Caenorhabditis elegans: one gene and its partners. The protein of the gene in region 3 purifies or fractionates together with the protein of the main gene of each other region. This does not show direct contact. Each region holds a gene or a part of one and is shown on either strand. Other genes may lie near its edges.

What was found.
Region 1: the proteins of smg-5 (region 3) and let-92 purify together in Caenorhabditis elegans (affinity purification with western blotting, with the first as the bait; one study listed by BioGRID). This does not show direct contact.
Region 2: the proteins of smg-5 (region 3) and smg-2 purify together in Caenorhabditis elegans (affinity purification with western blotting, with the first as the bait; one study listed by BioGRID). This does not show direct contact.

The regions. Positions count from the first base shown.
Region 1 is NC_003282.8:11,856,919-11,867,782, reverse strand, and holds let-92 (Serine/threonine-protein phosphatase 2A catalytic subunit), read right to left. Parts: upstream 9,342-10,864; 5' UTR 9,338-9,341; coding exon 9,209-9,337; intron 9,163-9,208; coding exon 8,953-9,162; intron 8,899-8,952; coding exon 8,836-8,898; intron 8,791-8,835; coding exon 8,602-8,790; intron 8,498-8,601; coding exon 8,324-8,497; intron 8,271-8,323; coding exon 8,079-8,270; 3' UTR 7,323-8,078; downstream 1-7,322. Other genes in the region: trpa-1 (Transient receptor potential cation channel subfamily A member 1 homolog), read right to left, coding at 462-548, 596-689, 764-1,742, 2,303-2,714, 3,155-3,236; mob-1 (Mob1/phocein), read right to left, coding at 5,372-5,702, 6,640-6,766, 7,102-7,225.
Region 2 is NC_003279.8:1,172,707-1,184,030, reverse strand, and holds the start of smg-2 (Regulator of nonsense transcripts 1), read right to left. Parts: upstream 7,559-11,324; 5' UTR 7,557-7,558; coding exon 7,410-7,556; intron 6,154-7,409; coding exon 5,612-6,153; intron 5,029-5,611; coding exon 4,640-5,028; intron 3,785-4,639; coding exon 2,844-3,784; intron 1,613-2,843; coding exon 1,528-1,612; intron 1,160-1,527; coding exon 852-1,159; intron 1-851. Other genes in the region: haf-6 (Mitochondrial potassium channel ATP-binding subunit), read left to right, coding at 8,278-8,342, 8,404-8,647, 9,936-10,223. UniProt on the Caenorhabditis elegans protein: RNA-dependent helicase required for nonsense-mediated decay (NMD) of aberrant mRNAs containing premature stop codons and modulates the expression level of normal mRNAs.
Region 3 is NC_003279.8:6,730,812-6,742,194, forward strand, and holds smg-5 (PIN domain-containing protein), read right to left. Parts: upstream 5,351-11,383; 5' UTR 5,342-5,350; coding exon 5,229-5,341; intron 5,121-5,228; coding exon 5,012-5,120; intron 4,951-5,011; coding exon 4,401-4,950; intron 4,335-4,400; coding exon 4,144-4,334; intron 4,058-4,143; coding exon 3,371-4,057; 3' UTR 3,218-3,370; downstream 1-3,217. Other genes in the region: ant-1.2 (ADP/ATP translocase), read right to left, coding at 1-148; lbp-5 (Fatty acid-binding protein homolog 5), read right to left, coding at 519-719, 1,249-1,458; dhod-1 (Dihydroorotate dehydrogenase (quinone), mitochondrial), read left to right, coding at 6,722-7,326, 7,370-7,765, 9,503-9,577, 10,041-10,200; cytb-5.2 (Cytochrome b5 heme-binding domain-containing protein), read left to right, coding at 10,477-10,569, 10,621-10,953; W02D3.12 (Succinate dehydrogenase assembly factor 4, mitochondrial), read left to right, coding at 11,178-11,208, 11,257-11,383.

The DNA of each region.
Region 1 (10,864 bases), on a different chromosome or scaffold from region 3:
CATGCAAATGTCCTTTCTCTTCGAAACGCCATCTACAATTGGACTGATCCAATTGGCGCAAAAATTCAGAGAACGGCAGTCAACTGTGGTGACTGTTTATGGGAAATTTAACAATTAAAAAAATATTGAAATTCACTGGTTTGTTTTTCCAGCAGTGTTAATAGCACAAAAAAAGAAAGAAGATACCGTGGGTCATTTAGTTAAATTAGAGAAAAAAAAAGAAATACAGTTTCAAAACTTATCCGTGTTTTAAACTCAGAATACCAAATCCTTTCTAAGTTTTTCATAATTTTGCAATCAGTTAAATTAAGTATAATTCATAGTTTTTACATTGAATATTTTCAGGAGGTACTGATTATGAAGATTTAAATATATTTTTCATTAGCTCCAGTATTTTTCAAAGCATTACTGCAATTCTTCCAACCTGGTTTCTCATCAAACAACTTGGAATAATAACGTACCACTTCTGGCTGCCAAATGCAATGCACTATTTCCCATTTCATCTTTCATCAACAAAAGTCGAATATCCCATTCAAGTAGTTGTCTTACTGTAAATTTCCAACATTCATTTCTATGAAAAGAAAATATTTCCGACCTGCTCCAGTTTGACCCCCAATTGCAGCTCTGTGCAATGCAGTCTCCTCATCTTCGTTCACTTGAGTAATTGATGCTCCGTGTTTTTGGAGCAACTGGAATTGAATTACAGTTAAGTTAAACTAGTTGGGAAAATTTCTGAAATTGAGATAATTTTCGATCAACTCACCTGCATCATTTCCAAATATCCATTTGAAGCAACAATATGCATTGGAGTGTTTTGATCTCGATCTACCATATTGACCATAGTCCTCCTCACGTCTTCAGACACAATCCGAAGTGTATTTCGAGTAGGTGACTTTAAAGCACTTCTTTCAGTCTCTTTATTTTTTTTTCTAAGGTGGTCCAAAATGTATTCAACAGAAGAAAGAGCATTGAACTTGGCTCCAATGAATACTGGGGTACGTTCATCTTTATCCGTGATTGTCAAGTTTGCTTTTTTTGCAATCAGGTACTCAACACACTTTTTACTATCATGAGTGACTGCCATCATCAAGGGAGTCAAGCCTTGTTCATCGACTACATCAATATTATCCTTTTCCTCTTCTATTAAATAGCTTACAACTTCCAATTGATTCATTTGAGCAGCAACGTGAAGTGGCACTGCTTTAACTTCATTCAGTTCATTCTTGTTTCCTCCAGCTTCCACTAATGCTTTTAAAACTTCTAAAAATCCCTTTTCAGCGGCAAAATGGATCAATTCCTTCTCCCTATCCATCCATTTACATGAATTTTTCTTTTCCATCTGCAGAATCTTTTTCAAAGTTTCCGGATGATTTCCTTCTACAGCCATTCTCAAAGGTGTCTTCTTTTCATTATTAAATAAATTTAATGCCTTGATTGCTTCAACTGGATCATGATCCATCATCATCTCTAAGTATTCCGGCTCACCCCGCAATGCAACAATATGAAATACTGTGTTGAGTCGTTGATCTCTTTTCGTAACATTACTATTTGCTTTAATAAGCTCTTGAATTATTTCTTGGCTTCCATGAACACAGGCTAATAGAAGAGGTGTCATTTTGTTATCATCTTCCGCATCCACATCTGCTTTCAGTTTTATGAGAGCGTGTAGAGCAGAAAAGTTGGATTTCATGGCTGCATAGTGAAGAGGAGTCAATTGGTACTTATTCACAGGATCGATTTCACTTAAATTTTAGCCGTTTTTTTTCAATAATATTTTTTAATTTAAAATTTCAAACATAAACTCCGATTCACATTCAGGAATCTTATTGGGTTTTTCTAGCAATCTAGAGATTGATTTTCATAAAAAAAGGTTTTGAATAAGGACATTAAATAAGCGGACTTATTTATGATTTTTGTCTATGAGAAAATGTCACTAGTATCCTAATTTTGAATTGATATTAGATTTTTTAAGGAAAAAATTCCGAACATAAAACTCGAAAATGAGAAGTGTTTGGTCCTAATTTTAAAATGTTAAAGATTTATTATAACTGCTCACAAAATATTGGATGAGGTTAGAAATGCTCCAAAATAATATAATAAGATGAGTACTTTTGCCAAATTTTGAGCTCAATTTTTGGAAAGGAAAATGTCCACAAAAAAACTTAAGCAGAGCATTGATATTTGTATTTAAAAATTTTAAATGTAAACTCCGCCACAAATTGGGTTTCCCCAGGAGTTCCATCTCATTTTTCAAATGAAATCAGATAATCATCAAAGTCACAAGTATAAAGTTGAAACTCACGCATTTTCAGAAACTAAGGCATTTATGATCTTCTTGGTTGCAGTATTGTACTTTCTCGCGGAATCAGCTTGATCCTCATCTATAATTGAGCAAATATCACTGTATCCATAGATATACTTGGAAGCAATATGCAACGGAGTGTCGCCTTCTCGATTTTTTGTATTAGGTAGAGCATTTTTAGAAAGTAATAGTTTAACTGCATCATAGTTTCCGTATCTCGCTGCATAGTGAAGCGGTGTCATAAAATCACCATCTTGGGCGTTCACTGCCAATGGAGCTTTCAGCAGAGCTTCTTGAAGAGCGTTTACATTTCCTTCTCGAGCACTTTGATGGATTATTGAACGAAGATTGTCTGCTTCAGTGCGAGCATCTAGTTCAGCGACTCGAAAGATTGAAGCTTGACGACCATCTTCTGAATGATTTGTTTTTTTTTCATACATGAAAACTCTAGTTTTTGAATTGAAAATGTGTTGATTAGGACTCTAAATTGGCGAACTGATAACTGTTATCAGAGTGTTTTAAACCAAAAATAACACGAAAGTTCTTAAACTTCATTTGTGGAACTTTAGTATCTGAAAGAAAAACTCCGTATAAAATTGTTTACCTAACTATGTGCCAAATTACTTTTAGTACATGACGGAGAAATTCCAAAGTCTCGAAATCTATTTTTTCTGAAACAAGAACAAAAGCCAAATTTTAAAAATTTTCGTCTAGTTTTCGAGATGATTTTTACTTGAGTTGAGTTGAATGTTTTTAACCCAGCTCAGGCATAAGGTAGGCACGTAGACCTGAATGCGTTAATTAATACAAACAACATATTTTTCCATCAAAATGTGTATTCAGATTACTTACTCTCAGATCTGATTGTATCATCATTTGAAATCAATCCTTCCAATTCCAGCCGAACATCAAGCCCTAATGATTTCTTCGACATTTGATTTTATGTTTTCTGAAATTGAAATCAATTTTGAAACCCCTAAAGATCTTTAAAATGGGATAATCTTTTTTGAAAAAATCTAAATCTGGATAAAACACTAAAAATAAGATTTAAGAAGGAAATATACACAGGAAAAGAGAGCCGAGAGGTTGTTGCTGTCTGGTCGTTTCCGTAGTGACCGGAAAATTGGTGGAGTATGGAGGAAAAAGAAAGGCAATCAAAGATTCATATTGGGGAAGAAAAAGCAGAAGGTGGTACGGATAAGACTGGATTTGAAATTTGAAAAATAGGCCAAAGAACTTCTTAATCATGTTTTTTTTGGGGTTTGCGAAATTTAAATTTCGAAGATAGTTTACTTCAGAGTTCAACTCTTATCAATAGTTTTCAAGAATGATAACTTGCAACAATTAGGTGCGGAAGACCTTGTAATAGTTATTATTAGAATATTAGGTCATCCTGTAAATTATGAAAATAAATGAAAACTGACTTTTTAGCATATTTTAGCATATTTCTTAAATTTCAGCAAGTTAATAAGAAATAGGCAAATCTAAACTATGGAAACACGAAACACAGACATTCATGGCAAAGTTCTGAAAACAGGCAGTAGGCAGGTAGGCCTGTCTCGTCCGGCTACAGTCGTACCTGTCTAGGAAAGAAGTCATACACAAGAGAATAAGAAGGAGACGTAATATGACCGTTTCGTAGAATCTATATTTCAGAATTCACCTAGACTGCAACCACGCCCTAATGCAAACTTCCAAAACTACCAAATACGAAAATCAATGAAAAGAAAATAGGTGAAATCTGTACAAACGTGGAAGTATGCAAATAAATCCAAAACAGTCGAAAGGCAAAAATGTGAGTCACTCATTCTCTCCTCTCTTCTCTCACTCTGTTTCACCTTTCAATACAACAAATTGGTAAATAGAATGAATTTAGATGAGACCGTAGACGAAAAAGGAAAAGTGCGAATATAATATGTAACCCCTAGTATAGGACAAGTAAGCAAAAAGAAAAAAGGAATGTAAGTTCAAAGGTGGAATTGGTATGGTATGGAATCCAAAAAGAGACGAAATAAAAAGAATGCAGACGGGAAAAAGAGAAAGAGCAAACAGTGGCATTTGATCTTTAAGTGGTATTTTGTTCGAAAAACTATTTGATTTTGAAAAAAAAACTTCTTATTTCGATTCTATCGAGTAGGATCTACTATGGCGATCAATAAGTTCTTTTTCGCATTTTCTCAGTGTTCATAATTTTTCAAATATTTTCTATTACGGGAACAAACATCTATGAGAATGCGTACAGAATGCGTACAGGCAACATGTTTGACGCGCAAAATATCTCGTAGCGAAAACTACGGTAATTCTTTTAATGAACAGTAGTCACTTGAAGAGTTACTGTAGTTTTCGCTACAAGATATTTTGCGCGTCAAGTATGTTGCACAATACGCATTTTCAGAATTTGGTGTTTTCGTGATACAAAATATAATAAATAGAAATATAAATTTTGAAATCTCGCTAATTATTTTGGGGTTTCTGCAGAATTGTGGCTAATGTTTTCAACTTTATCCAAGAAAAATTATTCGTATTTAGTTGTATCCACTTTCAGAAAAAAAATGTTTTTTTGGAAAGTTTTGGTTTCTTCTGAAAGGGACTTTTACATAGATAGTTGAAAAGGATGAAAACTGAGAAAACACGGAAAACTTATTGCTCACCCTATTACAAGTGGACAAACAATAAATATTCTTTGAAATCCTTTTGCTGGAAAATGTTCTAACTTATTTGAGAAAGTACTCAAACTAAAAACCTTATCTACATGTAGCCGAAAAGTTTTTTTTTTTGATAATTTGAAAGACCGGATAACAATTAATTTAATGAACATCTCTCAACAATTCGTCACACAAAAAGAAAAGAAACTAGAGAATTTTTGAAGTTTTCCCAAACTGATACCATATCATGAACGTCAGAAGCTTATGATTTATAATCCAGTCTTTTTGTGTATTAATCCTAAAAGCACCTATTTTAAACTCATAAACACGTATAGTTCAAAATTTAAAGCAAATTTATTAGAGTTTTACACATCTGAGGAGAAGGGGAATCACAGAATTGGGAATATTATTAACAACAGATTATTTAGCTAAACGATATGAGATTCTCGATGATTTCCCGTAATGGTTCAGTTTCTTCCTTGTTGAGAAGTTGGAATTGATTGGCGAATAGAACGAACTGTTTGAACGATGTGTTCAGGTGTGCCAAGGCCTTGATAGCTTTGAAGTGATTGACATGGGCAAAATAGACGTGAGCATAGATTCTGAACAGTCTCCTCATAATTGCTTGACAACGTTCCTCAAAGTCCGTGGGGAATTGTTTTCCGATTTCCGATGGGAACACGTTTTCGTCGTCGACATTGTTTTGGCATGCAGTGAGCGATAGATCAATGTATTGAGGAGCACTTGTGTTCAGTCTGAGATAGATTTTTTTTTTTTGGAACATGAAGATTAATGTGAGAATGGTTTTTTTGCGTTTTTACGAAAACAAAATTAATTTTCCTTCTTTTTTAAAGATGGAGTAGTGCACTAGTGAACGTGGTTTTTTTTCTCTTAATGACAAAAAATGTTTTTCCAGAATTTTTACAGATTTTCCAATTTTGTAACAAAAAAAAAATTAGAAAGGCATGTGTTTAGTTTTCGAGTTTCAACATTTCGGTGTTTCCCAGAAAACAATTAATTGGTTTTTTCTTCATTTTTCAATTTAAATTTTTTTCTGCTTGTGAGGAAAACTGTGACAAACCATGTTAAAAACAATCCAAAAATAAAGAAAAGCCGAATTAATATAGTCAGAAAGCACAAAAACGAAATTTGAACGGGAATTATAAAGTAATTCGGCTCTTTATTATGGGAGCACAAAATTTTGAGAATGCGTATTGCGCAACATATTTGACGCGCAAAATATCTCGTAGCGAAAACTACAGTAATTCTATAGATAACTACTGTAGCGCATGTGTCGATTTACGGGCTCGATTGTTGAAATAAATTTTTTTGTCCTCGTTTCTTCGTATTATTTTCTCATTTTTGTATAATTTTAATATTCTATCGATAACTAAATTCTTTATTTCGAAAATCACAGGCGCTACAGTAGTCATTCAAAGAATTACTGTAGTTTTCGCTACGAGATATTTTGCGCGTCAAATATGTTGCTTCAAAGTCATAGAATTTGAGAAAAAGTGCACTATATATATTTTTTGCTGCAAAATTGAAAAAAAAAACCGAGCAAATTTTAAACAATTATATACGTTTTACAGTTAGATTATGTATACTGAAACGGTTTTCTGCAATTTTAAGAATTTTCAAAATATTGAATTTTGATAACCAAGAATTACGGAAAAACTTAGAAAAGCTTACAATGTTCCTTCACTGGTCCAAGTATATTGTCTTCCATGTGCTGTCATCGATGGACACTTTGAATCGGTACATTCGGATTCGCAGAGAACTCCGAAAACCATTCGAACTTGATTTACCAGATCGATTACTGAAAAAATGCGCTTTTTTTTTGGAATTTTTCAAAAATAAAATTAAAAAAGAAAACTTATAGAAACTGTATGTTTCCGCTTTTTTAAAGGGAGAACCAAAATTGAGAAATAGTCTCGCCGCGCGTCAGTGTTTATTTGTTTTCGTGTACGCGCCTTTAAGATTACTGTAGGAAATTTATCCAATTTTTTGTATTTTTTGAGAAAATTGGATCAACTCGAAAAAAATCACAATTAGCAGTTTTTGTTTTATTATAAATTATTTTTTGTTTTATTACAAATTATTATTACCAAGCTGTGCAAAAAAATGTCAAAGTTTTTTTTAGCAAAAACTTACTATTTACGGCGAGCCATTCATTTTTATCTTCCCCTGGTGGAAGTTTCAGAGCGTCACGAAGATTTCCACTTCCTAACGTTGAAACTGCCATTGGATTGCACCATGATGAACTTGGTTCACTCATTTTCTGGAACCAAAATAATTCGATTTAAAGTTTTTTCTTTCACCAAGACAAGTATTGTTTTATGCTTTCTACATTGCAATCGAAAATTCAAAACTTTGATGTGGACACAGTTTATTGATCATTGATGATAAACAAAATGTTGATGGGGCAAAAATAATATTATAATTAAACAAAATGGGGGAATAAAATAGTGGAAAAGGGAGAGATGTTGTCCATTCGCATTTTGTGATAATAATCATAAGAAACAAGGAAGACGGGAAGTGGTGAAAAGGATGGGATGGAGGGGAAAATAGTGTAAGAATATGGAAGGAAAAGAAAAAGAGTAAAGAAATGTTGGAAGCGAACGCCGTACAGCGCGTGCGCGGAGAAGATCGCAACTTTTCTCACACGGGGATGACTGAAAAGAATATTGATTGCTTCATTGAGTGAAGGAAGAGAACCGAGTGCTAAGGTTGACACGAGATGTCGGAGATATTTTTTCAGTAATGGCTAATGATTCCGCCAAACTCTTCCCACCACATTAATTTACATGAACAATGAAATTTTCATCCCTATCATCGCATCATTTGAGAAGAGAAGCACGGTTTGATCGCCTAAATTTTGGTAGAGGACAAGAGAATGGAACAAAAAAGATAGATGAAGAACACAACAATCATTTCGAGCAACTTCAGAAGAGATGGGATTGTCAAATAGGATGGTGTTGGGCAACGATACAAAAACAACGATATTCTATATAATGACTGAAACGATGAAAAAGAGGAAAAGTGAGAGAAAGTATTGAAATTAATTGGGTAAGGGGGATAATACGGAAAAAAAAGAAAATGAAAACGGCGATTTGAACGGAGGTATCTATCTACAGGAAGTAGTCAGGCGTTCTGCGAGTAACATGTGGTTCTCCTCTTCGAGGGGCAGGGTCGAATTGCAAGAACGAATATTTGAGATCGTCGTCCAGCTCCACCATCGCTGCCTGATTTCCACAACGATAGCAGTAGTTTGGTGCTGAGAACACTGTTACCACGTTACGATCGTGACTCCAGTTGTATCCCTAAACATATTTATATCATTGCAAAATTATATCGATTTGAAATAATTTCTCACCTCCATGACAAGTTGATGGGCCCGAGAAATTAGAGTAAGTCCATTGGAATGGTTGAACGTCTCCGAGATATCCTGACCGAATGTGTATCCTGCTCCACGTGGAGAGATTCCCCAGCCACCTCTGTCATCTGGATCAGACCAGAGAAGATCGCACATTGGTCCTTCGTGTGGAACCTTTAAAAATATATGATTTTCGGTGATGAAAATGTTAGAACTTTTCTATTATTGAAATATTTCAGGCTAGTAACTATTAAAGGTAGATTTCCACAATAACTTACCTCTTGAATGCGGTCAAGAGCTCTGATGTGATCAAGAGTATCAATAGACGGTGAAAGACCTCCGTGAAGGCAGAAGATTTGACCATCAACAAGAGCGGTAAGTGGGAAACAGTCGAAGAGATCAGTGAAGTACTTCCACACATTCGAGTTTCCATATTTCCTCAAACACTCGTCATAGAACCCGTAGACCTAACAAGAAAATAATAATTTTTGAAATAAATTGATTTTAATTACCTGAGTGATTTGTCGCGACTCGTGATTTCCGCGGAGCAGTGTTACTCGATCCTTGTATCGAATCTGAATTTTTAAAGATGTTATAATAATTTCCATACTATATTGTGATAACTGTACCTTCAAACAGACAAGCAGACTAACTGTTTCGACGGAATAATACCCCCGGTCGACGTAGTCTCCCATGAAAAGGTAATTCGTGTCAGGACTCTTTCCACCCATTTTGAACAGCTCCATCAGATCGTGGAATTGACCGTGAACGTCACCACACACTGTCACAGGGCACCGGACTTCTTGCACATTCGGCTCTTTTTCCAAGATCTCTTTCGCCTTAAAAAAATTAATTTTTGACAATCACAAAACTGTATCAACAAACCTTTTCGCATAACGTTTTGACTTGATTCTCCGATAGTGGTTTACATTCGTATAACTGCTCAATCCACTGATCTACATCGACGATTAGTGCTTTATCAAGCGGATCCGCAGATGGTGGGGCAGCAGCCATACTACTGAAAACTTATTTGTTGGTCAAGAAATTAGAAGTATAAAAAAGTTTGAATGATAAGAACGCATAGAGAAAGAAGAAAGACAACGTGGGCAGCTATAGCAACGGAGCACGAGTCGGAGAAAGCGTGAAGAGCAGAAACTCACGCTGTTGCCTCACAGTCAATACTTTTCAGCGGATTCTTCTTTCCGTATAAACTGATAGGATTGCAAGACAAAAGGGATTAAGTGCCCCTTGCTCCAACAGCATCTTATAACGAAAAAGAAAACGTCACAATTGGAGGAGAGACAGTTAATGAAATGATGTAAAGCACAAGTTTTAAAAAAGACGGAAAATCAATCGTGAACAGGTTAAGAAAAGAAAACAAGAACATAGAAATAAAATGTGTAGTTTTTATGGATTATTTTTCAATGTTACTAAATGCCAGACCGGATTAGTTACTAGTGTCAAAAAGTGTCCATTCTCAATTTTAGACGAAGAAGTGAAAGATGAACAACAATCACGCGCTGAAAAATATTCATAGGAAAAAGAGGAAATCGATAACTCGCTGTTTGCGTTTCTACCTCCCACCAAACCATACGGAATTTCATTCCGTTCCGATAAGGCAAAGAACAAATGTTGTTAATTATGTTTCACAATAGGGGTCAATCTATGTTCTAACGAGAATTAAAATATTTTAATTGTTAGGCAAACGTTGATACGGTAAAAAACCTAATTATGTAACTGAAACTCTTCAAATGAAAAAAAAAATCATAAAACTGTGTTTTTTTTGCCTTATTTTCGGTGAATCATAATCAATATTCAATGGGCAAAAGCCAATTGTAATGGGAACACGTGAGAACGGAATAAATGAATTTAACATTAGTGGAAGACATCAAAATGATAGAGAACGCGGGATGATCGAGTACGACAAAATTGTTGTTTTGTGAGGAGAGCGAGGCGGAGAAAGCAGGGCTGCAGAGAGATGCGGGGCCCGCCAATTGGGCAGTGACGGAGGATCAGACGACAGATAGCGAAGGAGCAGCGGCACTCCTGTGCTATAACCAGCCGAGGAACCAATCGCATTGCGAAAGTGACGGAGAAAGAGATGAAAAAGAAAAGATATAAGGCAGAGGAAAGAGCGACCGCATCGCAAGGGCTCGCGTCGCGGTTCACTGCGCTCTACTGAACACCCTCACTGTCTGTTGTTAACAAGACGGAGAGAAGTGAAGAAGTCCTCTTCCTGAACCGATGTTTTCGTTTATTGGCGTTATCGCTGAAGGCGACAACGACGACAGCAGAGGCGTTGTGTGCAGAAAGGAGGTGTGAAAAGGCGAGGATTTAGAGCTCTGGTGACGTGCTAGGGACGGCCAAGTTATGATAGAGGGGCGTACTGAAAAAAATGTTCGAGGTAGAATATTTCTAGAAAAATACATTTCATAACCCAGCAGAATCATGATGACTCATTTATGCGAAATTTCAGAAAAAACGGTATGTTTTAGAAGATGAAACTATCGATTGGCAACTAACGAAGGTTAATGATGTCCG
Region 2 (11,324 bases), 5.6 Mb from region 3:
CTCGTAAATCGACACGGAGCAAGCGCGCTCCAATGAGAACTTTTTATGCGCGCGCATTTGAAAAAAGGGATGCGGGCACAACCGATTTCAAGCTAAAATATGAAATCAGGGGAATTTTTTTCGAATTTTTTCAAATAAAAATTTCCAGTCGTTTTTTTGTATCTACAATAAAGAATGATAATTCCAAAAAAAAGTCAACTTTGGACAGATGTGACACAGAAAAATGGGCAAAATTCGAGAATTTAGCTTAAAAAAACCGTTAGTCATCCTTTAAGGTATTTCTGAATTAGAAAATGTGTGTGTTTTTTTTCAACACTTTTTGTTGGAAAATAGCTAATTTCCATTAAAAACAAATTTTTGAATGAATGGATAAAAATAGTGAGCAGCTATTTTAGACAAACTTTTGATTTTTTTTTTTTTTGGGTTTCGAAGAATTTTTGAACCGATTTGCGCTCCGGAAATTGAAATTCGAGACAAAATTTCTGTTTTTTCATGAAAAATAACTGGACAAATTTTACATTTTCAAGGTTTCCGAGAATTTTAAACTTTGAAGCAAAATTTCTGCTCTTTATAGTTGAAAACTTGATATTTTTTAACGGATTTAATTAAATTTTTTCACGAAAATTTCCATTTTTTCTCTAAAAAAAGGAAAAAAAACCGGAAAATGTGCTTAAAAATCTATTTTTTTTAATGAATTTTGTTGAATTCCTTTCGAAGTTTTTTGGCATTTTTAAATGGTTGAAAAAACTCGAAATTTCGAATTTTTTACTTTATTTTTATAATATTACTTTTTTTCTCCATTTTTCTGCACAAATTTCGAGCTCCAATCAATTTTCAGCCGCTTTTCTCACCTGAAAAGCGTCAACACTAGCAATTTCGACATTTTCATAGAGTTTCGAGTTGAGAGTTCCTTGTGTATGCATATAATTGACTATAAAACTACGTTGTCCCTCATACGGAGTAATAACACCGATTTGATGTGGTTGAACGCCTGCTTTTATCAATTTCGACACAAGTTTCTCCACATTCGCGGCTTCTGTTCTATTGAGAAATGAGGTTCCAGATGCTGAAAGCTCTTCGGATCCACTGCAATGCCAGAAGAAGGCCGGCTTATTTGGTTTAGGCCAATGCCAATCGACTCCTGTCATATGGCGATCGTCTGCAAAAATAATTGAATTAAAAGGGTTTTTTTTTTTAGTAAAATTTGAGCTTTTTTCTCGAATTTTCCAGCAAATCTTTGGAGTTTTTAGCTAGCTTTCTGCGGGAAATTGGTTTTTTTTCAGGATTTTGTCAGGAAAAACTGTAAATATTGGATTTTATGCTTTTTTCTCTGGAATTTTCTGGTGAAAAATCCATAATTTTATGATCTTGGGACGTGTCTCTATTTTTCTTGACAATTTTTCGTCAGAAAAAAAAAAGAAATTGGTGGATTTTTCTGGGAATTTTTAAGCGGAAAAGTCGAAATTTCAAGTTTTCAGGTAATTTTCTTTCCTTTAAAAAATTCAAATTATATAAAAAATTGCCTACTTTCAGTGACACCATTCTGGAGACTTCCATCGTAAAACACGTTGCTCGGGAACTCTGAGAGCACTGGATGCATACGGTATTGCACCTGAAAAATGGGTTTAAAATTAGAATTTCATGGAATTTTCTACTGAAATCCTCGGAAAAATTTCTGGAAAAACTGATCTTTCCAATATTTTAGAAAAGTTTTTTGATTAGAAAAAAAATTAAAAATACCAACATTTTCATTTAAAAAACTGAAAAACAGCTACATTTTGTAGCCAAACTTTGTCAAAAATTCGAGAAAAAACCGATTTTTTTTGCATTTTTTAAATCTCAAAATTTCACGAAATTGGATTTTATAGCATATGCAGCGGTTTTCTTGAAAATGTCACTTAAAGGCGGACTACACCCTGTGGGGAAATTGCTTTAAAACGTGCCTATGGGGCCATAATGACCGAATATCATGATAAAAAAATTTTTAAAAGTTTTCTAAATTTTTGATTTTTTGAAAATTGAAAAAATCTCAGTTTTTGCCTAATTCCTATTTGAATTACCGCCAATTGGATTTGTTCGATGGAGCGCGCTTGCACGTTTTTAAATTTATTTATTTTATTTTTTGTTATTTTCCACCGATTTTCAATGTATTCGGTGTATTTTTGCTTGAATTTTAGAGAAAAAGTCAAAATAAATGCAAATTTTCGATTAAAAAACGCGATCGCAGGTGTAAAAAATGAAAAAGTAACGCTTTTAAACGATTTCGAACCTGAATTAACTAATCTCACTGATTTACGCCTGTAAGCATGCTTTTTAATCGAAAATTTGCTTTTTTTTTTACTTTTTCTCTAAAATTCAAGCAAAAATACACTGAAAACATTAAAAATCGGTGGAAAATAACAACAAAAAAAATTAATTAATGAAGATAATGCAAGCGCGCTCGATCGAACAAATCCAATTGGCGGTAATTCAAATTGGAATTAGGCAAAAACTGAGATTTTTTCAATTTTTAAAAAATCATATAAAATTTAGAAAAACATTTTAAATTTTTTTATCATGATATTCGGTCATTGTGACCTTATAGGCATGTTTTAAAGCAGTTTCCCCACTGGCGCTACTCCACCTTTAATTACAAAGTAAATTTTGGTTCGATTTTTTTAATCTCGTAGAAAACTTGTAAACTTTCTGAAAATATCTGAACCTTCATAAAATTCAAACAAAATTTTTCAAAAATTAGAGTCCGAGTTGTAGAAAATCGATTTTTTAAAGGTTCAGTGATAATTTTCAGTAAGTTCAATTTAAAATGCCGAATTTCAGTAGTTTTTTCCCGAAAATGACCCAACCTGAAGCCGGAACGGTCGAATACCGAGAAGCACAAGTCTCTCGAACAAAGATTGGCTCAATCCGGCAATCGCCGCCTTTTTACATATAACAACCGGTCCCAGTTGACAGTGATCTCCAACTAAAACCAATTGCCTGACTCCTCTCATAATAGAGACCAAAATCTCGGGCTCTGTCGCCTGTGTGCTCTCATCAATGAGCACAGTTCTCGTACGGATCTTCGACAATCTCGCATCAGCCGCCGATGAGCACGTACAACAGATGACGTCAGCGGCGGCGAGAAGCTCATGCTCTTTGACTCTTTTCAATTGCATATATCTCAAATCATCCTTAAACTCGAGCTCCCCGGCTTCATCTTTCAACTGAATCAGCTTCTGAAGCTCCGCACCGCCCATCACTTTTAGCTGATGTTGAAGCGTCAAGTAGGGTACTGTAGTCTCACTGTGCTCTCGAGATCTCGCACAAAGCCTCACAACCTTCAATCCCGTCTTGTGAATCTTCTCGGCCAAGTGATCGACGGCGATGTTGCTCGGCGAGCACACGAGCACGTTTCCCTCGGTTTTCTGCACCAAATGATAGACGATTGTCGCCGAAACTACGGTTTTTCCAGTTCCCGGAGGTCCTTGAATCAAGCTTAAAGGTCGGGTGAGCACCTGCTTCACTGCCTGCATCTGGGAGCTATTAAGCTCGGGGAGTCCAGCGACAGATAGCCGACGCGGTAGATCAAACTTGAGCATCATTTCCTCGGCTGGATGACCCAGAAGCTTCTGGTAGAGATATGGAGATATTGCTTTGGAGTCGTTGAGCAGCGCCGCAAGAGCCTTGTACTGTCGCTCGAAGGTGGTGGCGTTCCAGACGACGTCGACGGTGAACATAATCCGACTCTCCATCACTGATTTGTCGACAGCTCCGCGGATTTCGATGCCTACCTCGTCGCCGTGGTCTGCAAATTTGTAAACGTGAAATTTTTTGGAGCTTTTTGTGCAATTTTTCTTGAAATTCACAGAAAAACCACTCGAAAATGGCCAGAAACGATGGAATTTGTGATTTTTTTGTTGTAAATTTGCAATTTTCAGATGATTTTTGAGCTCTTTGCCCAATTTTTCGTGCTAATTTCAAGAAAAATCGATCCAAAAGCGGGAAAAAAAATTTTTCCGAAGAATTTAAAGTTAAAAAAGCTCAAAAAAAAATTGATTTTGGTCATTTTCGAGTAGTTTTTCTTGTAATTTTCAAGAAAAAACCGACCGAAATTTTTTTTTTTGCAGATTTTTGGTGATGTAAATTGTACTTTCCCATAATTTCAACGATTTTCCAGAAGCTCAAAAGGTTAGAAATTTAGTTTATACTATTACGGGAACACAAAATTCTGAAAATGCGTATTACACAACATATTTGACGCGCAAAATATCTCGTAGCGAAAACTACAGTAATTCTTTAAATGACTACTGTAGCGTCGATTTACGGGCTCGATTTTCACTTTTTCGTTCGTGTGAAAATGAAAATCAAGCGCGTCGTAAATCGACCTACAGTAGTCATTTAAAGAATTACTGTAGTTTTCGCTACGAGATATTTTGCGCGTCAAATATGTTGTGTAATACGCATTTTCAGAATTTTGTGTTCCCGTAATAGTATAAACTAAATATCTAACCTTTTCAGCTTCTGGAAAATCGTTGAAATTACTGGAAAATACAATTTATATCAGGAAAAATCTCCAAAAAAAAAATTTTGGACAGTTATTTCTTGAAAATTCCAAGAAAAACTACTCAAAATTTTTATTTTTATTTTTCCCATCCCTTACTATCAGGAATCTTGAAAACACTTCCAATCTTGGTCCATTCCGATCCATCAACCGTCTGAGAATGTTTCAATCGAAGTTCATCGCCTTTCGCAAGCTTCATGACACCATCAGCAAATTGTGGAAGATGAAAGAACGCGAGAACCGATTGACGAAGTCCTTGTTCCCATCTAACAGTTCCGACTGCTTGTGATGCTGATTCTTTAACTCTTCGATCATATTCTGCTTCAATTGCAACTAATGGACGGAACACTTTCGAATAGTGATGAGCATCCACATATCTTAATTGAACATGATCCGGTTCTCGATCGAGTCCCGGTTTATTTAAATCGTCAACGGTTGCTTCTGGGTGATCACGCCAGAGCTCTTCCATTCGGACTGCTTGGGTAGCACTGGAAAATTTAGTTTTTCATATATATATATATATATATATAGCTATTTAAAAGTACTATACCACTTGTGTTTTTCCGGCTTTTTGCACCAATGCCGGTAGAAATTGAGAATTTTTTGCACGAAAATTCGAAAAAAAATTCAATTTTCAATTTCTTTTGGAAACTGGGAATAGATTTTTTATCAACAAAAAAATCGAAGCTATAGAAATATTAAAGGTGGTGTAGTCGAATTTTTTAAAATTGCTTTATTCAACTCAGAAAACACCGAATTTCATAGTGAAACTTCTCAAAAAACAAGTTATGACGGTTCAAAAAATGGCCTAAAATTAGTTAAAATTTGAAATTTGACCGACTTGTAAAGCGGCTGGAAACTATTTTTTTTTTGTAACCACCGTCAAATTTTGAGTATACAATTTAATTATCTTGCGTTTTCAACTCGATTTAGGTATTTTAAAGTCGATGGACGGCGAGATTTAGTTAAAAATTGTTAAAATTCGATCGCTCGGAAATTGCATTTTTGGTTGGAAATTCCTTTAATTATTATTTTAAAATTTTTCTCAAAAATCGATTTTCCTCCACTAACGTGATTTTCCTAGCTCTGGCCACCTGCTCCTCGCTGGGCACATTAACAATCCACGATAGCAGCTGTTTTTCAGCGATTACAGATTTCCAGTCCTCGGGCGACCAATTATCATCATTCTGGAATGCAATACTGGCGCACGGTGTTCTACAGATTATCACGACGACTTGATCCTTTTTTCCGGGGATGAAGCCGAGATTAAACACGTTTTTCGAACCACAACGATAGCATTCCAATTGAGTGTCACCACACGGTGAATCCTTATGCGTGTAGGCTTCCTTATGCTGACTCCGAACCATATGATGAACAATATGCCCGCCCGACGTTCCATCATTGGAATTACAGAACCATTTCCTGCAGACTGTGCATTTGGCGACACACAGAGGATCAGAGATTCCACAATAGCGACACGCGTGCTCCGGCAGCTTCTGCTGCTGCTGCTCTTCTGTCAGTGATTTTTCACTGTCCGACTCGTCGTCTTCCACGTCGTGAAATGGCAAATCGTTGGTGGTTCCATCGGTTCCTCCTGGCAGCAGATCTGTCGCCTGGAATATGGGTTTTTTTTTGTTGAGAATTTTGAAAAATTGACAAAAAAAATTGATTTTAAGGGACTTTTCTATGATTTTCTTGGTTTTTTTCCACTGAAATTTCCACTTTCAGAGGATTTTGAATAAAAATTTATTTAAAATTAAGATCTGTCGCCTGGAATAGGTGTTTTTTTTTGAGAGTCGAATTTTTAAAATTGCTTTGGAATTTTCTTGGAATTTTTTGTACGCTTTTGGGTCGATTTTCTTGAAATTAGCACGAAAAATTGTGGGCAAAGTGCTCAAAAATCATCTGAAAATTGCGATAAACAAAAATATTGGAAAAAAAAATCACAATTTCCAAGATTCCTGACAGTAAGGAATGAGAAAAATTCTTTTTAAAACAAGTTTTTGGTGATATAAATTATCTTTTCCAGAGCAAGCTCAACGTTAAGAAAGGTTAGAAAATTAGATTATACTATTACGGGAACACAAAATTCTAAGAATGCGTATTACACAACATATTTGACGCGCAAAATATCTCGTAGCGAAAACTACAGTAATTCTTTAAATGACTACTGTAGTGTCGATTTACGGAATCTCGATTTTGGCGAAGGAAAAATGAAAATCGAGCCCGTAAATCGACCTACAGTAGTCATTTAAAGAATTACTGTAGTTTTCGCTACGAGATATTTTGCGCGTCAAATATGTTGTGCAATACGCATTCTCAGAATTTTGTGTTCCCGTAATAGTATAATCTAATTTTCTAACCTTTTTTAACGTTGAGCTTCTAGAAAATCGTTGATATTGTTGGAAAAGATAATTTATATCACAAAACATCTCCAAAAAAAATTGGACGGTTTGTTTTCTTGAAAATTACAAGAAAAACTAATCGAAAATGGCCAAATTCAAAAAATTTTGCAATTTTTGCACAAAAATCTAATTTTTTCGAGCTTTTGGATCGATTTTTCTTGAAATTTGCACGAAAAATTGATTGGGCAAAGTGGGCAAAAAAGCATCTGAAAATTGCAAATTGACGGGATTATACTCATTTTCGAACAAAAATTGAAAATAAAAATCACAAATTCCATCGGTTTTGTCCATTTTCGAGTGGTTTTTTTTTCATGATTTTCATCGTTTTTTTCAGTGTGTAAAGTCTATCAATTCAAAGGATTTTGAATACAAATTTCTCTGAAAAATCATGTGAAAAACTTGATTTTTCAGCAAAATCCAGAATTTTCCTTCGATTTTTTGACACAAATGCGGCAATTTTCTACCTGAGAACTCTGCGTAGGCACACTAAACTGCTCATAGGCGAACTGAGAGTCCTGCGTGTTCCCAATAGAGACTCCATCGTCCTCGGGATCCACAAATGTGAGGGTTTCCCCGTGGCTTCTCGAATATTCGTCGTCCGAATCGTCCATTACTGGAAGAAAAGTGCGTTTTTGAGGGGTTTTGGAATGAGAAATCGATAGCATTCATGAGAAATTTGTCGGTATTCGAGTAAAATAGGTGAAAAAAGTACAAAAAAGCATTTTTCAAATTGCAAAATCTAACAATGAGCAATATTTCGTAATTTTTTACCACTTTTACACTTATTTTTGCAGATTTTTCATGTAAAAATTCAACATTTTTGCCGAAAATTGGCGGAAAACCTTCGAAAATGAGAACTGTGTTAATTTAATCACAAAGCGGGTGCATTTTTGGAAATTTCAACAATTAAAATTGAAAATTTTCAATTTCCGCTCACTTTTTATCGGAAAAAGGTAAAAATGCCTAAAATTTGAGCTCAAATTTGAAAAACAAACTGAAAAATCCCCCCAACTTTTAAAATGAGCAATATTTCATCATTTTAGATGATTTTAAGCGAAAATTGTGTGATTTTTAACAATTTAACCATGAAAATGCATATTTTTTCAACATTTTCATACAAAAAATGAGGTTTTGTTAGAAAAAATTGCGAAAAACGGTCGAAAAATGAAAAAATATGATAAAAACACCTCATTGCAAGGTGGGCGCACGGTTTTTGCAAGTGTGCCGCACGGAGTTTATGTTTTCTCGATTATTATTTTTCTTGGAAAATCGGAAAAAATCGCTGATAAGAACTGATTTTTATTGATTTGTATTGATTTTTCCTGGTTTTTAATGTCAATTCTATCTAAACTATCCCAAATATCCATCAAAAGCGCCGTGCAAAGCAGCAAACACTGGTAAGATCTGCAAAAATCTGCTGATTTTCCATTTTTCCATATATTTTCCCGTTTTTTGCAGCTTTTCCAGCTATCCATGGCTTCACAAACCGATTTCAAGGACAACAATACTCAAAACATGGCGAATTTGTGGGTTTGGAGCCGGTTTAGGAGCTGTAACCCTACGAAAAGCGGCATGTGCTCCGAAATTGAGCAAACGCATCGACCATTTGAGGACGACGGAGGATCAGAATGCGTCAATGACGGCCGGAGAGCTGTGGAATTTGATTAAACCCTTTTTCGGCTGGTTTTTCGCTGCAGTTGTGGTGAATTTTTCGATAAAAATCCGGTTGAAAACTGGGAAAAATCGAGAAAAATACGTATTTTTATAGTTAACTTACAAAAAATTGTGCAATTTTCACCTAAAATCTTGCTTTTTAATTTTATTTCAGGTTTCCTGTCAATTTTCCAGCAAAAAAACTTTAATTTCCGCATTAATTCGTATGAAATCAATGAAATTTCATAGTTAAATTGGAAAATGGCAACATTTTTGCTTAAAATTTGTAAAAAATCATGTTTTTTGGGCATTTTTGGTGATTTTCTTTCGATTTTTATGATTTTTCGGCGGTTTTTACCCAATTTCATTAGAAAAAATTGAAAAAATCTCAGTTTTCCCCTAATTCCTATTTGAATTTCCGCCAATTGAACTTGTTCGGTGGAGCGCGCTTGCATTATTTTTTTTATCATTATTTCATTGATTTTCTTCATTTTTAGGGGTTTTTGATCGGAATATGAACGAAATAAACAAGAAAAATGCAAAATGTTTATGAAAAAGTGACTAAAAATACCTAAAACTCCATGAATAATACAAATTTCAGGCTCGTCGTCCTCAGAACTCAAAAAATCACAGTTTTACGCATTTTCAGTTACTTTTTAACAAACATTTTGTATTTTTCTTGCTTTTTCAGTTCTTTTTTCCGATAAAAATGCACAAATAATGAAGAAAATCAGTGAAATAATAAAAAATAATTTTAAAAAATTAATGAAAATAATGCAAGTGCGCTCCAACGAACGAATCCAATTGGCGGAAATTCAATTAGGAATTAGGCAAAAACTGAGATTTTTTCAATTTTTTCTAATGAAATTGGGTGAAAACCGCCGAAATATCATAAAAATCGAAAGAAAATCACCAAAAATGCCCAAAAAACATGATTTTTTACAAATTTTAAGCAAAAATGTTGCCATTTTCCAATTTAACTATGAAATTTCATTGATTTCATACGAATTAATGATATTCGGTCATTATGGCCTCATAGGCATGTTTTAAAGCAATTTTCCCACAGAGTGGAGTCCACATTTAAAGAAAAAATTGGCTAAAAGTCGGTTTTGTCCGGATAAATTACAAAAAATTACAAAATTTTTGTTTTAAATCTCGGAATTTGAAGTTTTTCAGTTATTTTGGGGGGCTAAAAATTTTAATTTCTACATTAAATTGTACGAAAATCTTGTAATTTTTTCGGAATTTCACCAGAAAAAATTTTAAAAACAAAAAAATTTTAATTTTAGTCAATTTTTCCTTAAAAAATTGAGAAAAATTATCAGTTTTTTTTGCAGTGCGCCATCCTCTCAGCCTACATCAACATTCAAATTCCACTATGCCTGGGCGATTTGGTGAACGGAATCGTGAAAATCATCAAGGACGAGTCGAACAATTTACGATCTCATTTTGAACAGCTCAAGCCATCTGCTCTGCACTTAATGACACTATATGTTGCACAATCTGCTCTCACATTTCTTTATATCACATTTTTAACGGTTCTCGGAGAACGAATGGCGACGAAAATGCGGTCGGACTTGTTTCAGAAGCTATTGCACCATGATATGGCATTTTTTGATTCTCATGTAAGAGCGTGGGTGGCCGCGGTGAAATTTTGGTGGCCTAGTTTTTTAAATTCCGATTTTTTCGGTTTTTTTCAGTAAAAAAAATCTTTTTGAAAACTCGACATTTTTAATTTTTTGCAATTTAAAGATGGATTGACTCCAAAATTTCCCCTGATCCCCGAAAAAAAAATTGTCCCAAAAAATTTTTTTTTTTCAAATATTTGTTTTAGTTTTTGATTAATTTTCAGTATTTTTCTGCTTTAACTTTTTGAAAAATTAATTAGGGAAAACTCTAAAATGTTTGATTTTTGAATTTGATTTTTTTGGCAGTTTTCAGATAAAAAAACAGGATTTCCTTTTTTTCAATTTTAACTTTTTTAGAACAAAAATACAGGGTCTCGACACGACAATTTTTCGGTATAAATCAATCTGCGCCTTTAAAGAGGGTACTACTGTATTTTCGAGCTTTTCCTTTCTGCGAATTTTTTTCCCGAAATCGTGGGAAAAAAATAATTTTTACAACTACAGTAACCTTTAAAGGCGCACATCTTTCTGTATTTATAAGGAATTGTCGGAACCCAGAAATCCGTGTAATGTCTGAAAAAAAAATTGTCCCAAAAAAAATTTTTTTTTCAATTATTTGTTTTAGTTTTTGATTAATTTTCAGTATTTTTCTGCGTTAACTTTTTGAAAAATTAATTAGGGAAAACTCTAAAATTTTCTATTTTTCGTGTTTAATTTTCTCTAATTTTCAAAAATAAAATCAAAATTTAAAAAATTTACTCTAAAAAATTCTGAAAAAAACTTTAAATTTAATTTTTCTGCATAGTTTTCTTGTTTCCACTATTTTTATTTTTCAAATATTTTTAAACAAATTGAGTTACAGAAAAAAAAAATTTAATTTGTGAAAAAACTTTACAAAAATTTTTTTTTTAGAAAAATAGAAAAATTTCTTTTGAAAATTTTCTTTTGAAAATTTAATTTTTTTTGAAAATTTTTAAAGAGCTTCAGAAAAAAAATTATTAACTTTTTGTACAGTTTTATAGCTTTCATAATCATTTTTAAAGGTGGAGTACCGAAATCTATTAAATATTTTTAACTGACTCCAAATTTTCCCCTAAT
Region 3 (11,383 bases):
TTACTGTTTCAGAGACATCACTGACTTGAAGTAGAAGCTTTACACGTTCAATTGGAGCAACGGCAGTTTTTGAGATTGCTGCAGCAGTGCCTCCGGAGGCGAGATCAACAAGAAACTTTCGATAATCAAATCCTTCCTTTGTGGTCATTTTGTCCTTCTGGAATGTTTTTTTTCAGAGATTATATTTCCTGAATGCTGATAATAAAACTTTCTTCAAATGCGAGTAGGAAGGAGCTCACTAGACTCTTCTCAAAATTTTGGTCATGAAAGTCTAATCAATATAAAGAATAAAATTAATTTAAAAAAAAAGAAAAATCTAAAACAAAAGTGTTTCTTTAAAAATTGTTGAAACTAATGAAAAATTTTACGGAAAATAAACAAGGCCTTTTTTAACAGAGACAGAGAAAAGAAAAGGGTTTCTGGTCCTTTAAAACGTCACTCTGCGTAAACAAAAACACTATTTTTCGCTATTTATTGCATCAAAGACCGAACAAAACAAGAACAATATTCAAAATAATCTATTCACGAATATAGGCACGACGAGAGATAACTGATCCAGATTGGAGAGTTGTGATGAGCTTTTCTCCTTCAAACCAACGAGTGATTACAGAATCATGATCTGAATCCTTAATCCTTTTTTGAACATGAACTACTTTTCCATCTTCAATTGTGATGGTTGACTTGAATTGACGACCGTCTGGTGTTGTCTCGTCGAATTCCTAAAAAACACTATTTTTTTAAATGGTAAATTATAACAGTCAATTTAAAAACTGAACTTTAATGGAATGAAAACCGGGAGTTGTTTTTCATGTAGCCGACACATTTAAAGATCGTAACTAATTCGAAAAAAAAATATTTTGTTAGATTTAATATGATTCTTTTTTTGATTTCAAATGTTCGTTTAGAGTTCGCAATTGAATTTTCCATAGACCTATTCTGAAAGACATAAACATTAGATTATTTCTTCATGCCACAAAGTGTATCTATGTTAATAGAACACCCGTTTGTTGTGTGTAGTGTTCAAATGGATACAAAGTTCAGTTGTTCTTTATTCTCATTTTTTTGTTTACACTGAAAACCACGTGTACCTTCCTGCACTTTGACCCACTAGTTTGAGTCTTATCAGTGTTTGCTAGAGTTTCGAGAAAGGCATTTGAAAGTTTTTAAATGGGAAAGAAAATAACTAACGAAAAAGCCATATAGTTGTTGAGTTCTATTCTCGTTTCCTTTTTTCAAAATTTCACTTACCACTCCCAGAGTGAACTCCAATGTGGTGTTCTTGAAGGTGCTAAGTTGATTGACATGCCACTTGTTTCCATTCACTTTGATCTCTAAAGTTGGTTTTGCAGCACACGCGGCTTTACGAAGAAGAAGACCAACCCCAACTTCTTTCAGGTAATCCTCGAAATTCTCGGATTCGACAAGCTTCCAACGACCCACAAATTGTTCAGCAGACATTCTGAAAATTTGGAAATTTACAATTTTGATAAAGAAGTACCAGAATAATAATAAAGGGAATTAAATGAAAAACGAATAAGTATTAAGAAATTCTGGATGATTTATTTCTGCTTTTAGAAAATTGCCTATGATTCTTTTGGATTCGTATTATTAAATTTATAGTTTCTAATGACAAAAATAAAAAATGTAATGCATTGCAATAAGGAATATTAATACAAAAAGCAGGAGAAAGTGGTTTAGATGAGTGAAAACCAGAAAAACGTATATATAGTAAATAGGACACAAGGGGGAGTGTACTGAAACTGCTGCCACGTTGTATTGGGTGATGGACAAGTTGGTCAATTTTTGGACGGTTTTGAACTGATAACATGGAATACACTAAGATGGAGTGTAGTATGTACATGGTGAATCACGATTAATAGTACTTTTTAAACTTTTGACATATAGTGTCGTTCAAAAGTAGATACAATGCGATCTCGTTTTTTTTTTTACAATTTTTGACATTTTTTTAATTGAGCATAACACCAAAACGCTACTTTTAACGTGGAAGAGATGGCGGGCAACAAGGTTAAACGATGGCCAATGTAGGTTTTCGATTAAAAAAATATTTTCCAGAACTATATGTCAAGATGTACCATAACGGATTGATCTACTATAAATGCGGGAATTTTTCGCAAGAAGCTTTTAAATATTTGAGTGTTTATACAGTATTTGTTATACAAAAAACAAAAAAAAATCAAAATTGTGACTTTTCTCTGACTTTACTGTGTCCGTTTATGTGTGAGTCAATCGAAAATGTTTGTTCAAGTTTTGAAACCGACTTATTTGACAACTATGACGTTGCGAAAACCAACATTAATTTAAAAAAATATTGGGGGACCACTGCTTTTCAGGGCACATTTTCAGTTTTCCCATACCTAGTTTTAGAAATATGATAACATTCACTGAAAATTTGGAAAGATGAGTGGAGTAAGGTAGAATTCACCAGAAAAACAGTTTGTATGTAGATATTTTGTATCGATTTCGTAGTTGATATAATCTTAGTGAGATTTGGAAAAAGAAGGAAATATAATTTCTACTTCAATTGAAAATTGGGTGTCTAAGTGGCATGACGAGACAATACAGCAGTAAATGGTAAACTGTAAAAGCCGCAATTAGTAAACAAAACCAGATTTTTTTCTCAAGTTTTCAAATCGAAACATCTCAACTTTACACAAATGTATTTCAATCAACAAAAGTATACCTCTTTTCATTTGAATGACCTCGATATGAGAGTGATACAATCTCCTCTCACCCTGTTTCTAAAAGAAGAGCGCTATTTATCTGACTGAGAATCGGCCCTAGACACTGTCTGACGGGACACAGAGGAACATTCAAATTAAGGTGATTTTAGAGTTTTTAGTGAGGGTGAATGTTCTGGAACTAATTCGGTATCTGGAAGTTTTCGCACGTTTAGCAAAATAGTAGACTTACAGTACTCTAGAATACTCACAGTCAGGGAATGTGTAGCTTCGATTTGCGGAGCATAAAAATTGAAAATGTTACTTACTTCATGAAAATCAATTTATAGTAGGCTGATAGGAATCGAAAAGGTATGATTGTGAAATGAAAATGCAATTTTCTAAATGGTTTACGGGGGTGGCAAAAGAATTCATAATTGTTTAGATACGTGGGAGTGCTCTTGGAATTTTCAATTTGAACGAAATGGAACATAGTACTACTATTAATTTAATACTATTGTGAAATGATTTGAAAAGAGTTAATTAGAAAATTTTATTACCAAAAAATTGTCAAATAATTGAATCCAGTAAAATAAATCAAAAATAAATCCGAAGAATATGATCTCAATGATTTTAAGCGGTTCCAATTCCAGCCATCGTGAGATTTTTCAGTGTAGAGCCCTTTCTTTTCATCACTCCAAATACTTCATGTAGAACTGATCGATATCGTAAAAAGTAACTCCTTCCATTTCTTTCTGTTCACTCGGGTTTTTGCACAGAAAAGCGACAATATGCTTGTGATCTTCTGCAGATCTTCGTGCACTTTGAACCAATTGCTCCGCGCAGCTTCTCTCGTTATCACATTTCTTTAGCACAATTTTTCCCTCTGCTTGAAGCTCCATTAATGCCCGAATTACTGGACGAACTGCTCGATTCTTCGTTTTCTGATAATCAAGTTCATCAAGCACTGTTGATGGCAAAATGCAGATGAAATCATCGATATCCCAAATTTTTAGAGCAATTCTTATTTTGTCAACTATGACGTCATAATCCATCAATACATAAACAGGTCTCCAATCCTCCCGGTTAACTTCATCATTTTGTGTCTTTATTTGAATATCCAAACGTTTTTGTTCCGATTGATTAATTCGTCGTAGCAATGGACCCGATTCTTCTCTATCGTGGATTATCTCCATTGGTGGGAATTCGACGGAAACCAGATAATTGATTAATTGACTCAAAAATTCAACATTGGGTTCGGATATTGGACCATTCAGCAGAAAGCTGGTCATAGAAATAGATGGATTGATTGTGAGTGACATGGATGTGAATACGGAATTGATATGATTCATAACCAAGTCGTTGAGCTCGTTCCATTTCTGAAAATAAGTTATATTTATAATTAATTCCCCTTGATTTTAAAATTGAAACATCTATTCTACATTTTCTTATCTCTAAATCTTACCGTTTTGGCGAAAACCGATAGCTTCTGGAAATGTGGCTCATTTTTCTGCTCATCCAAGTGTCCGAGTATTTCGGCTGAATCGGAAATCCATGAGATAGCTTCAGCTAGAAGGCATTTGGATGAAATCGTACGTGAATAAATTGTAATATACAGCGTTGAAATTGTGTCGAAGCAATTGTAGAATTGTTGAACTGAAAAAATTATGTTATCCTACAGCAGAATAAGAATTTTCTATAGATATTGGAATCGGTACTTACATCCAAATTTCTTCATTGCCAATTTAGATGCTAAACGACACGTTGACATGATCAGAGACCAATCGAATTCGAGTTTCTGTTCGATTTCTGCTTTAAACTCGTTTACTATTTTGATTCCAGTCATCTGATAATCCATTCGTTTTGATTTCTCGTTCAATGCCCAAATGACAAAATCTACCATCAATTTATCAGTGGATTCTTTTTGTGGAAATTTCAAATATTCCAAGAGTTCAGTGCCTTTTTTATATGGAGCATCGGCGAGCTGTCCTAAAATCATCAGTCTCAGCTTCTGTGCAACATTCAGGTCAGCTCGGAGACCAGCGAGAACGTGGAAAGCTCTTCCTTGATTCGGATCTAGATCGATTGCTCTTGAATAATATCCAACTGCCAAGCATTTCTGAATTTCTTCGTCTGGCATATAACGATGAAAATCTCCAATGTACATGTTCCACAATGCTGGGTATTTGTCATCGGGAAGCGAAAGCATTTCTTGAAGCTCTCCACAGAACATTGTCAGCAACACGGCTATTGCCATGTTTTTCTCCTTATCCTGTAATAAGAACCTTTGGAAATCAAATAAAAATAATACAATGACTAAAAGTTAATCTTACTCGAATAAAAAACTGGAAAGGGTGATAATATCCAACAATCCACAATTTATTGATTGAACTTGTACAGTCCCCGTCGCGTTTCATAATCTCAATGAGCTGTTTTCGGCCTCTGAAAATTGTAATTCTTTAAATTTTAAACTTAAAGATCGTTTATTAATTTCATAGTTTCTGACTCAAGCTGTTGTATTTTAAGTTTTTGTTACAGAATAAAACATACTTTCTGCGCAACATCGCCATCACTGGAGAATGCACATTTTCAGTTTGGCCGTATTTTTCCAGTTGATTACAATATCGTTTGAACTTTTCAGTGACTTCATCTGACTTTTGCATATTTATATTCTGAAAAAAATAAATTAAAGACAGATGGATAACCGGATAATTATAATAATAGTTATTGAATATAAAAGGAAGAGGAAAACAAAATAACGACTGCGAAAAAAAAATCAAGAAGAAACTGCGCACTATGTTGCAAATTGGCCACGCCCACAATTCAGTTCATTTTTCTCTTTATTTTCTTCAGTTTTTATTGAAATATAATGTTTTTTCTCCAATTTTCTAAATATTTTCTCTTAAAATTCAATTAAAAAATGTGTTTCGAAAGATTTTAGAATTAAATTTCAGCGTTTTAGTTCAAAATTGGACATAAATCTTGTGTTTTCAAGTGTTTTCATTTGCTAAAAATCTGTTTCCATAGCTGTATAATATTTGTTGTAAGTATATACGCAAAAACTGTATAATTATTAATTTTTCCAATAAAAAAGAAAAACCTCTTGAAATTAAAATTGTTCTCATGTCTAAAAATCACTTGTTTCTTTATCTTCAAACTAAATAGTATTTCTTATTTTAAATTCTTAAAGTTTCAGATTGTATGTCATTAGGAGCGGAAAACCATCAAACTATCAAGAAGAAACTTAAATCATACGACTACAGTATTCGAGTAAGTTTTAAAAAAAAGTTTTCGTGTAAAAGTTGCACAAAATGAAAATTGAGGTGACATAAACTGAATAAAAAAGAAAATATTCATTTCAAAAACGTTGTATTTGTTCAAAAACAAATTCGGCAGTTTAAGCAAAATGTGATTTCTGATCTATCGCGTCGATTTTCATTCATTTCTTCTCTCGACACTTCATCATCGCATCTTATCTTTTTTGTCACTTTTATCATCATCAACCACCGCCAAGACACCATGCTGCAAACATTTCAGATGTTCTCATGCCATTTTTTTGCCCTAAACTTTCATAAAAATGTAGATTCTGCCAATCTTTCATTTCCCAACTTAACTTTTTCAAAGTAATTTAAAATAAAACGACACTACTCTTTAACATTTCATTTTGATTTAAATAGTTTATTATACTTTGTACTAGATTCCCCTGTTATCTAAGATAACCTTCAACCATTAGTTATCGAGCTTATCAATTCAAATTTCCAAATAATTTAGGCGTCTGCTAGCTGCGACTCTTCTCCCAGTCTCTTTCAACCATTCTTTCAACTTGTACTCCATTACGAAGACGGCGAGACACAAGTTTTGGATTTCACTTCAGAGCAGGCAAGTTTTTTTTTTAACTTTAAGATACTTTACCTGTATTTCTACTTATAAAAGTGAAAACTTCCAAAAGAAAACTCAGCCACATTGATCATTTTAATTTTTTTTTTTCAGCTGGAGAAATTTGTTGCTGATTTGAATAAATCATCCTGAATTTCTACTGAAGAATGAGTCAAAATGCCGAACAAAAATACATCTACTCCAAACTTCCACCTGGTGCAATAAGCAAGTCGACAGTAATTGTACTCGCGACAGGAATTGCCAGTTACACAGCACTTGAACTTCTATATGGTTCGGAAACGTTCTACAAAAAGGCAGTAATGCCAATGGTACACAAATTTGTCGATGGAGAAGATTCACATCGATGGGCGGTTCGAGCTGCTTCGTGGGGACTTTTGCCACGTTTCGGATGGAATCGAAAAGAATATCCTGAACTGAAATGTGAGCTTTTTGGACGAGAATTCAAGAATCCTATCGGGTTAGCTGCTGGATTTGATAAAGATGGACAAGCAATTACACAATTGGCCAAGAATTCTGGATTTGGACTCATTGAAATTGGATCTGTAACACCAATACCACAACCAGGAAATAATAGACCACGCGTGTTTAGGTTATTGGAAGATGAAGGAGTTATCAATCGATATGGATTTAATAGTGATGGAGTTGGAAGAGTTCATCAAAGAGTACGAAGTGCCAGAGATTCATGGGTTCCAGAGAGTTATGCATATTTTGGAGTCAATTTGGGAAAGAATAAACTTACGGAAGACGCAAAGTCAGTTAAAAAGGCAAAAACGTTTAAATTTCAGTTCTTGTAGATTGGATTATGAAATTGGTGTCAACTACTTTGCTCCACATTGTGATTATCTGGTTCTCAATGTATCATCACCTAACACTCCTGGGCTCAGAAGTATGCAAAAGAAAAGTGATTTGGAGAAGCTGTTGGCCTATGTACACCAAGCGCTTGAAATGCACAAGCTGGAAAAGCAGCCTCAAGTTTTTCTGAAAATTGCTCCGGATCTAATTGAATCAGAATTAAAAGACATTGCACAAGTTGTGACGAATAAAAAGTTTGCGATCGATGGAATTATTGTATCGAATACCACAATTGCACGACCCGACTATCTCAGATCAGAGAATAAAACGGAAACAGGAGGATTGAGCGGAGCGCCGGTTAGAGAAATTAGTACGGAATGTGTCAGAAAAATATACAAGTGAGTTTTATAACTACTCACGGCGTGTAAATTGGGACATGTGGCCTAGCGAAAATTGAAAAGTGAGAATCCTAGGCCATGGCCGCTGCAAAGCGCGCGAAATTTGAATTTAAATTTTTAATATCATTGAAATTCGATGAATGAGACATTATAATGGATAAAACTACAAAAATATATACAAAATTGTTTTTAAAATGAATAAATCACATATAACAACGATTATTTTCCTAAATAAAAGTGGAAATTCGATTTATTAGGCAATTATTAGGAAAATACGTCAAAAGTGGCACATTTTTGAACTTTTTTCAAAAACTAGATCCACAAATTTTCTGAAATTTCACCAGATTACTCAGTAGACTACTTTAATCAAATTGTGTGCAAAAAATTCATACCCACCGTCACAAGTTCCTATTGAATTTTTCTATTTTAGCTCCGAAAACCACTAAAATCGACAAAAATGGCCCATTTTTGAACTTTTTTCAAAAACTAGGCCCATAAAGTTTTTGAAACTTCACCAGTTAACTCGGTAGAGTATTTCAAACAAATTATGTGCATAAAAACCATACCCACCGTCACAAGTTCACATTGAATTTTTCAATTTTAGCTTGGAAATTCACAAAAAATCAGTGAAATTGGCACCAATTTGAAATTTTTTCAAAAACTAGATTCACAAAGGTTTTGAAACTTCACCAATTGACTAAATGAAGGTTTTTGAACAATTTAAGTACATAAAATGTATACCCACCGTCACAAGTTTACACTGAAAAGCGCTGTTCTTTAATGCAGCTTCAAACTGCCTTGTTTCGTTTTCTGCGTAGTTCATATTTTTTTGTATTTGAATTTAATGTAATTTTAGTGTTTCTTTTATTCTTTTCCAAAAAGATAATGCATTTTTTGCTTGAGTTCAAGGATATTTTCATATAAAACGAAACCGGGAAGTATTAATTGCTAAAATTTATGTGGACTATGGTAGTCAAGTCCGCAAACACCAACCGCATTTTCATAATTGCGTACATTTGTTTTTCAAGCTTTTTTCTAGGCCAGAGGTACCAATTTACACGCCGTGTACTCAAATACGATATAAATATCAGAACATTGTTTCGTTCAAAAATTTCGAAGAGAAAACTGAAATTAGATAATTTTCCATTTTTTCCGTGTGGCTTTAGTTATATTTCCAGTACATAATTAACCGAGTTTGGTTCCCGTTTGAAAAAAAATGTATAAGTAATTTAAATCAACAAAAAACAACTTAATAATTAGCTAGAACGAGCAAAATCAGCTAGTAATTTGAGAACAAATAATCTCCCGAAGCTGTGACTTGGTGAAGTTAGCAAATTTGAGATTGTAGCTAAAATTAAATTGTTCAATTTTTAATTTGTTTTTTGAGCAGTCTCTTTATGTAATTCGGCCATTTTGCGTGTGTATAATCGAAAATCTAGAACCTTTATGAAATTTTAACATAAATCAAAGAACCCAAACACCAAAAAATCACAACGTTGAACCTTCTTGGCTAGACTATAGACAATTGTCATCATTTTTACCGCATGTCCCCTTGTTATTTCGTTTTCTTTGGCCACTTGTCACCCCGGTTACACTGGGAAAACCAGGCGGCGTATTTAGTTTGATTCGTTTTACTGCGCAAATATGGTAAGTTAAGTTTTCATCATTTTTCAAATCGATAATTTTTCAACAAAAAAAATTGGTTTAATTTTGTTCGCATTGATAGTTTAATTTCAGACTCACAAACGGACAAATTCCAATTATCGGCTGTGGAGGAGTGTTCAGTGGAGCAGATGCATATGAAAAGATTAGGTAAGTGAACTTCCCAGTTCGAGGTCGAGTGGGGAAATTATCAAAAACCATTCCTATCTTGCTAAAATGACCAAATATTATTATAAAACTTTTCAAAAAAAATTTGAAACATTTTTTGTTTCGTTTCAAAAAGCAGTGAAAAATCGGTTTTCCCCTATTTTTCTTTGGAAATCGACGATCAAAAAAATGTTATTCTCCAGTTTTATGTTCTAATTATGTAAAATATGCATATTTCAACATTTTAAAGGTTTAAACATGATACAGTGATATAGATTTTTCGAAAAGTAAAAACACAGTTTTCAACGCCTTTTGACTCAAAATAAAAATTGAATTATAATATTTGACCATTTGAGTACAATATATGGTAAGAATGGTTTTATTGATTTTCCCACAGGCCGTATAGTCCACCGTTATTCAATCAAAGTATTAATTTCAATTTATTTAACTAAATGTAAAATTTCAGAGCCGGTGCTAGTCTGGTCCAACTCTATTCCGCGTTCGTCTATGAAGGATTTCCGGTAATCGGAAAAATCAAACGAGAACTTGTCGAACTTTTACGGAAAGATGGATTTTCGCATGTTTCGGAAGCAATTGGAGCTGATCACAGAGAAAAAACGAAATAATTATATTCCCAAGATTTTTGTTATTTTTTCAGGTTGACTTCATTTTCATGGGTGTTTCAAAATTGTTTTATAATTGAATTATTTTCTTCCGATGTTCAATGTGCCTTTTCATGAGATTGTAGGGTAATTCTTAGTATTTTCTGCATAAATTATTTGATTTCCTTATGTTTTTTTTTTCAATTTATACTAAAGTTTCTGGTTTTCAACCGAAATATATCACTTTTGAATAATTTTCAACGACTTAGAGACCATTTTTTGTTTCAGGGTTCATCAATTATGTCGGAGCTACGTGTCATTTCTCTCGATGAGGTCTCAAAGCACAACTGGGAAGATGCTGATCAATCGTGTTGGATTGTCATCTCCGGAAAGGTAATTTTTTTTTCATTTTTTAAATTTAAATATCGAAATCATTCCTTACAGGTCTACGATGTGACAAAGTTCTTGAATGAGCATCCAGGAGGTGAAGAAGTCATCACTCAATTAGCCGGTAAAGATGCTACAGTTGGATTCCTCGATGTTGGGCACTCAAAAGATGCTATTGAAATGGCCAATGAATATCTCATTGGTCAATTGCCAGAATCAGACGTTCCAAAAGTCGAGACAGCGGCTGCGAAACCTTCGAAAAACGAAAAATCATCATCTCTCCTCAATGATTTCACCGAAATTATGACTTCACCAACATGGACCAACTTCCTGATTCCAACTACAATGGGACTTGTCATTTATGCCGTGTACAAGTGCATGTTCAATTAAATTACCTTAGCTCTTATCCTATTCTTTTGATCTTATGCGCCCACTTTCTTGAAATGCATCAAAGAACATTTGTTTCTATGGACTTTTATATATGTGATAAAGATTTGTTGTCAATATTTTCATATGTTACTGAAGGAAAAATGGGTGGAGCCTTGGAGATATCGATGTAACTTTAGTCGCAAGATTAGTCCTATTGAAACAATTAAAAAAAATATTCAGATCAAATGCTTCGTCAGATTCTTCGTCCAATTTTGAGTATGGATTTTACACAAAAAACAATTTTCTAATTTCTTGACGATTCAGATTCTTCCCGCCGATTCGCAGATATAAAACCAAAACAAAGTGCGAAGGAGAAGGTGATGGCTGAGAAGACACCGAAAGGAGCACTTGATAAAGCAGACGAACAACAATATGAAGATCCTCACCTCAA